Linked DNA regions of Neurospora crassa OR74A. The protein of the gene in region 1 binds, or shares a complex with, the protein of each later gene. Links are inferred from orthologs where the notes say so. Each region holds a gene or a part of one and is shown in the gene's direction. Other genes may lie near its edges.

What was found.
Region 2: NCU03738 (region 1) and NCU07956 share a complex: the UniProt entries of both Schizosaccharomyces pombe proteins name them as parts of the small ribosomal subunit. The link is inferred for Neurospora crassa OR74A from reciprocal best matches to the Schizosaccharomyces pombe genes rps29 and pno1.

What each region holds. Positions count from the first base shown.
Region 1 is NC_026505.1:2,254,353-2,257,813, reverse strand, and holds NCU03738 (40S ribosomal protein S29), read left to right. Parts: upstream 1-1,500; 5' UTR 1,501-1,625; coding exon 1,626-1,687; intron 1,688-1,971; coding exon 1,972-2,071; intron 2,072-2,291; coding exon 2,292-2,300; 3' UTR 2,301-2,846; downstream 2,847-3,461. Other genes in the region: erp38 (protein disulfide-isomerase tigA), read right to left, coding at 1-152, 234-747; NCU03737 (elongation factor Tu), read right to left, coding at 3,430-3,461.
Region 2 is NC_026504.1:1,226,103-1,229,957, reverse strand, and holds NCU07956 (pre-rRNA-processing protein PNO1), read left to right. Parts: upstream 1-1,393; 5' UTR 1,394-1,644; coding exon 1,645-1,940; intron 1,941-2,008; coding exon 2,009-2,316; intron 2,317-2,379; coding exon 2,380-2,549; 3' UTR 2,550-3,153; downstream 3,154-3,855. Other genes in the region: pod-1 (mitochondrion biogenesis protein), read right to left, coding at 1-965; NCU07957 (hypothetical protein), read right to left, coding at 3,650-3,855. UniProt on the Schizosaccharomyces pombe protein: Required for small ribosomal subunit (SSU) synthesis. Has a role in the processing of early nucleolar and late cytoplasmic pre-RNA species.

The sequences.
Region 1 (3,461 bases):
GAACTTGATCGTGGGGAAACCGGAAACGCCATACTCGGCGGCGGACTTTTTGCCGGTAGGCGCATCGGCATCAACCTTGGCAATGGTGATCTCCGGGTCGCTGGCGAAGGTAGCGGCGAGCTTCTCCCAGGTAGGAGCGAGGTTCTTGCAGTCTGGGAGTTTATTAGTTCTAATCATTTTCGGTCGAAGATAGAAAGTAACAAAACAAAAAAAAGGGTTTGGAGGTTACGTACGGCCGCACCAGGGAGCAGTGAAAGCAACCAGGACGTTCTTGTCGCCGCCAATGGCGCCCTTGATGGTGGCATCGTTAAGGATGTTAACGAGGCTTGGAGCAGAACCCTTCTTCCTGGCCTTGACGCCGGTCTTCTCGGCAATGAAGTTAGACAGGCTGTCCAAATCACGTCCGCCCTTGTAGTCTACCGGCTGCTCGCTCTTGCCATCAAAGAACTTGAGTGTGGGGAAGCCCTGGACACCAAAACGCTTGCCCAGCGCTCTCTCAGCATCGGCGTCGACCTTGGCGATCTGGACCTTGTCCTTCGCGTACTCCAGAGCGGTAGCAAGCTCCTCGTAGACGGGGGCGAGGTTCTTGCAGTGACCGCACCAGGGCGCAAAGAACTCGACGAGGGTTGGCTTGCCGGACTTGAGGACGACATCGTCGAAGTTGGAGGGGATAAGGTCGAGGACGGCAGACTTGGCCGCCACGGCAGCAGCCAAGCTGGCTACCACCAAGCTCTTAAGAAGGACCATGGTGTGTGAAGAAGCGTGTGGATGAAGCTGATTATCGCAAACGCTCTAAAGGTTGTCTTGGAGAAGAAGGGAAGAGAAGACCAACAGGCACGAGATGTTGGTGGCAAAGGGACCTCAAGATGATGGGCAAGGTATCCTAAATTGGCAAAGCTCCAGATGGACTGTTTGAAATCAGATGTGACCTTCTCGGGGACCTAAGATGCCACTTTGCGCTTTGCTGGCACCTCGATAATTCCAGGTTGTCCGCCGGTCAGCAACGGACCACTGGTCGAACCATTGGGATCCTTGCCAGTTGGTCGTGTCAGCGCTCTTGAGCTTCCCCAAAATCCCCTGAAATCCGTCATCCGAGTCGATGGAGCCCCGCATGCTGCGTGCGGTCATTGGTGGGGCCTTCAAGTTCGTTGAAGCTCAAGTTGAGTCTGCTGTAGCCGCACTGTGTCTCCTAAAACAGTGCGCGAACGCGATAAGATAGGTAGAAGAGAACTATTGTTATCGATAAGACTTTTAGGCTGGGTGCCAGTACCAGCCACACATGGAGGTGGCCCTGCTGCGCCACTGAATTGTTCTTTCCTCTGCCTGGAGACGGACTGCACACTGCACCAGCCACACTCAGCTGCCACGCAACCGACTTGAACTGTGCACTGCGTGCGTGCCAAGCCCGAAGTGCACAAGCCCTGGCGGCAGTGGACGAGGGCCAGTTGCTGCCGGACCGGACCTGCGAAACCGCCCACAGAAAAATCTCGCCCCATATTTGGCAGCCCTCTTGCGAAAAAAACCACCTCCCCTCCCCCCCCAGCCCGACAGACCAAGTCATCGTCAACCCGCCGCCCGCACGACAACGATTTTCTCGCTGCGACAGCAAAACCCCGAAAATCAAGATGTCTCACGAATCCGTCTGGAACTCCCGCCCCCGCACCTACGGCAAGGGCTCCCGCTCTTGGTAAGGATTATTGTCCAGCAACACCAATTATCCACAATCCACAATCTACACATACATCACAGCTGAGCAAGAGATGGGAATATGGCATGGTACTTTGCTGTTTGGGGCAAGATCAATGCTAGGGCGATGTGGCTTTTTGAGGAAAATTTGAAAGAGGAGGAGAGTTCAGAAAACCAAGTCAAGAATGCGAAAATCACGGAGGAGGAAAATGCGGCTTCACCACTCAAGTTTGACGAAAACTGAAGTTCAAGTTGCTAACCGGGCGTTTCTTCAACGTTGTTTAGCCGTGTCTGCACCCACTCTGCCGGTCTCATCCGCAAGTACGGCCTCAACATCTGCCGTCAGTGCTTCCGTGAGAAGGCCAACGACATTGGCTTCACCAAGGTAAGAAGAGAAAACATTACGGTGGAGACGGGCGGAACTGCGCACGCGACTGGAAACAGTGGAAAATCCGCGGTGCCACAAACGAGAGAAGGGCACATCTTGCGGGAAAAGGAGAACCTCTACGGCCAAGGAGTTACAAACACTGTTCCCAGTCGCGTGAAGCAAGGGCTATGGGAAAAGAAACAAGACGCATGGCTAACTCGCTTGTCTTTTCTTGTAGCACCGCTAAATCCCCCCTTTCTTGACATGATGGGAGGTTTTGGTAGGGGACGATGATGAGGGGAGGACACAAAGGGTCACAGCATCATCACAGTCGAGTTCCAAATCGTTTCGTCATCTACGGGAAATGCAAAAAATGTCCAGCCAAAGCAATTTGTCTCGTTCGCGCGCGACGTGTGTCCCTATATCGTTAGACGGCATGCCGACGACGGAAATCTCGACAAAGATGGATTAGGGAACAACGACAACGAAAAAATGGGGGTTCAGCCTTGATCCATGACAAACTACAACCCGAGACGACACGACGACACTTGACGAAAACGAACAAAGTAGCAATGCTTTTGTTCATCATCACATCCCTTGGAGTTTTTGCTTGCTTTGCTTGGTTTTCTTTCGGGATTCGGGTTTTTGGGGCCTGCGGAGTCAACACAAGCAAAAGAGGAACAGGGCGGCGGACTGAGGAACAGCAGAGGTTAGACTCTGTCTGTTTCCCTCCCATCGAGCGATCAATAGACCGGCGTGATTCTTTGGTCAACCAGCATTCTGTCTCGTTCTCGTCTCCCTCTTCAGCCGTGATCTGTGACTTTCGTATGATTTGCGTCTAGTGTCGGTGAACAACTTGTGCGAACCTTGATGACCAATGGTGGTGGACTTGAGCATAGCAAGCGCTTGTCCATTGAATCCATGTGCTGCTCGGCTCACAAGTCTCAACAAGCACATATCCTATCTTAACTTGGTCAACCACAAGACGGCATGAACATTCGCTTAGTACGTTCTAGCTTCTATCATTGCTTTTTTGAACCATCTATATCACAAGCTTAACAAGACAATAAGAGAAGAATATGAGGGGAGAGATCATCACTAGGACCCAAAACATTCTTTGTACAAAATACATAAAAAAAAAGGCATTTCAGATCCATAAACATTCATTGCTTTACATCGTACACTGTAGGTATATTTCTCTTTGAACTCCTGACGGCAAACCCGCTTCTTTTGGCGGCTCGCGGTCCCTTTTTCCTTGCATATGTGCGTGTGTGTGTTTTACTACCTTACCGGGGCTCGTCTAGGCTCGGCTCGGCGTGATATATCATTACATAGCTTTTTACAACCTCAACATCTCACAGTGAGTAGTTGATAGCTTATTCCATGATGCGGGTAATGATACCAGTGG
Region 2 (3,855 bases), on another chromosome or scaffold:
TAGTCTCCGATCCACTTGGCCAGCGTTTCCTGGGCAAACACCGTGTTGATAAAGAGGATGATGAGGGAGAAGAAGGTAGTTGTGCCAACAAGAATCCAGACCAAATGACCGAATAAGAAGAAGGACACAAACGCTCCCCATTCGTCGGCGTTCCAGGGGCGCATGCTCCTGATGGAGAACCACTTGAATCGGACCTTGAGACGCGACCAGAACCCGCTTGCTGCCGCCAGAAGCTCTTCTTTTGTGGGCCGATGAGGCAAATGGGGGAGGTGAGGAAGGTGAAGGTATTTAGACATGGAATCTGCTATTGATTCATGTGCGGGAGTCGGCTGGGAACCAGAACCGGAAGCCGTCTCGGTATTCGGTGGCTGCTGTGGTTGCTCGGACTTTTGCTGAGGAGAAATTGTAGAAGACTTGGCTTCGGCCTTGGTCTCGTCATGATCACCCTTGGTCTCTTTGCCCGAACTTTGGAATCGCTTTCCTGTCTTGCATAACGTTGTGGTCGTGGTGTTCTGTCGTATCCTTCGCAAGAGTAAAGCCTGCCGAGCCAAGTGGCCCATTTTTGCCTTTTGCGCGGCATTGCCGGATAGTGCGGATGCCTCTACCGTGCTCGTTGGAGAGGGGCTGGTGGTGAGCCCAAGGAGGAGTAGGCCTCCGGAGGTACAGCTTCGTAGGACATTATGGGATGGTTGTGACTGTTGATAGTGTAGTCTTTGCGATTTTGTTGCTGGGAAGAAAAAGCGACTTGCGGAAGAGGTAAATTGTCGCGTGCTCTGCTGCTGTCCGTATCGCTGATGGGACCCCAGCGATGTCGAGGGGCCAAGTCCAAGACTTTGACGACTCAGTAATGGCTGACAAGTTGGAAGCAGTATCGCGGCTGTGAAGAGATTCGAGGTGGTGTGAAGATCTCGTACTGAAGACCATAGCTGGCGGCCCAGCTGGGTCGTCGTAGCGCTAGTAGACATTGTTGAAATTCATACTGTCGACCGAGTAAGGGACCGACCTGTTCCTTTTTTTTTTCCTATGTTTTCAGCGACGATGGTGATGACGACAGCTCGGTGCCGTATCCATGGTCGGTCCTCGAGGCTGAAAATCAGATGTTGTTGCTTGGTGGTGGGCCGAGTCTAGAATGACATATGATGGTGCTCCTGCTCTGACCAAGAACCTGGAGTTTGAAAAAGCTGCCGGTCCAGGTCCCCGTCAAAAGTGCGTCAATGACGCTAACCTTGGGATTACAGGGATTCCTCGGTAACTGTTAGTGCATGGGCGTTGCGATTGGCAAGGGTCCTAGCCCCCATGCAGCCAATCGATAAGCTTCACTTGGGTACTCTTTTGTGGATCCACTGCTTTTTGTCAAGAATTTCCCCTCTGCGCTATCAAAATCGATAAACATCAAAATTCTAGAGACCGACGGCGCAAAAAGGCAGAACTTCGACTCCCAGATCTCCGCAATTCACGACTGTAACCCAGCATCCCGACACTTCTTTCGTCGCCCGTCACCAGTCTCTCCTCCACCCGATTTTCGAAAAATCTGCCATTACTCTTGGCCGGCGATTTCCCAAAATACTACCGACTTTAATCAACAAACAACCCGACTCGGCCCCTTGACCATCACCCACCGATAAACAACACATCTCGCCCAACATGCCTGCGCCAACAGCACTTCGTCAGCCTGTCAAGGCTCCCGCCGCCCAGATTCCTATCCAGACCGAGCAAGAGGACGAGCTCATTCTCGATGTCAACGAGGCCGTCAACCTCACCGATCCCAGCGCCGCCGCTCCCCCTTCCAATGACCAAGATGTGCAGATGGCTGTAGACGAGGAGGGCCGCCCCCGTTTCGCCCCCGGCCAGGACGTCCAGATCATTCGCCGCGCAGAGACCAGGAAAATTGGTATCCCGCCAAACCGCATGTCGGCCCTCAAGGCCAATTGGACCAAGATGTGAGACGGAAAACTACGGAAACATGTGTGAATGTTTGGGCAAGGAAGACTGACTGTTTTCCAATCAGCTACCCCCCACTTGTAGAGCACTGCAAGCTCCAGGTCCGCATGAACATCAAGGAGAAGCGCGTCGAGCTCCGCTCCAGCAGACACACCACCACCCCCGAATCCCTGCAGATGGGTGCCGATTTCGTCTCCGCCTTCGCCATGGGCTTCGACATTGACGACGCCATTGCCCTGCTCCGTCTCGATTCGCTCTATATCCAGTCCTTCGATGTCAAGGATGTCCGTCAGACCCTTGGCCCCGATGCTCTGGGACGTGCGATTGGTCGTATTGCAGGCAAGGACGGAAAGACCAAGTTTGCGATTGAGAATGGTACGTTCACCATTATGGGAGAATGGAAGAGATGACGCAGAAGTACTGACAAGATGTGAAAAGCCACAAAAACCAGAATCGTCCTCGCCGGCTCCCGCGTTCATATCCTCGGTGCCTTCGAGAACATTGGCATGGCCCGCGAGTCCGTCGTCTCCCTCATTCTCGGACACCAGCCCGGCAAGGTGTACAACAACCTCCGGATCATTGCCTCGAGGCAAAAGGAGAGATTCTAAGCTCTTTCTTTCACGAAAAACGGCAACAATGTGTTACACTTCTATTGCCGCTATTCTCACCTAATGAATGGTTCACGCACGGGGCTGCATGGTTCAGTCAACAAAAAATCGACGGTTTTCATCACATAAGGGGCGAAGGTGGCATTTCGGGAGCTACGCTTAAAAAGGGTTCTGGCGTTTAGGAGTTCATTATGCTTTTGCTTTGAGTTTGGAGAGTTTGAAATGGGCGATTCAGTCAGTCATGCTGGGGATATCTACGAAGGTGTGTAGAAGCGGGAGGAAGAGGACGGGATATTGGGGAGCTACCGCCTTGCGAATCTTTCAATGTGTGGTTATGATCTATACCCGGAGGACGAGAAGAGAAGACAATGAACAGAGATATTCACCAAAAGGCGGTTTAGTGCATATTGGCTGGCAAGGTCGATTATTGTGCAGAGAAAGTGATGTGGGAAACTGATCCAGTGCGCTCATTTGGTTGAGGTTCAATTCCATGGTGACGGCAAATCAAGCAAAATGTAAGGAGCTGATGTGATGGGCACCAATGTAGCCAGGTGAGCCACGATAGATTGGTTTCTTCAGGTCATACAAGTAGTAGTTATTTCCATCCATTCTCTTATCTCGCTTGTTCCGCATAAGTAAAGGTCTTGTTTGTTTTACAGTCCAGATGGCGAACCGTATATCGAAATAGCAGATAGAGCATAGTCAAACCCCTCGATATTCACCTACGATAGGTGGGATGAGACCATCTTAACCCGAGGAGGCTCTTTTTGTGCTCTGACTGACCAACTCCCATGACTCATCAAGCTTGTTGAAATAAAGTGAAGGCAAGACGTAGCAAAAAGTGATATACGTATGGGTATCTTCTGAAGAGCTAGGGTACCACCTCCGCACCATGAACCGTGTCCTGGAAGGACTTGCAACACTCCAAACTCCGTAATCATCTGTCACAACTTTAAGCAAAAACAATAATCCACTAGTCACCGCCGATTTCGTAGGCCTGACGAATAAGCCCGGTAAACTCCAACCCCATAACAGCTAAAGAAATGTGCGAATAACGTCTCCCAAAACCCAGTCTCCATGTTTATTCTCCAGGTCATACACTACTTGATGTAGACCTCAAACTGATTGGTCTCGTCCCTCTCAATGTCCATCGCCCCAACCAGCATGTTCTCGTTCAGCTCCTCGCCGTCAAACTGTATCACGACAGTCTGCTCCGGCTTGATATCTCTCTGCTTCCGGAAAACCTGCACCATGGTACTGACCGGCGTATCCTCATAAACCGCGATCTTGAGCGGTTGGAGGTCTT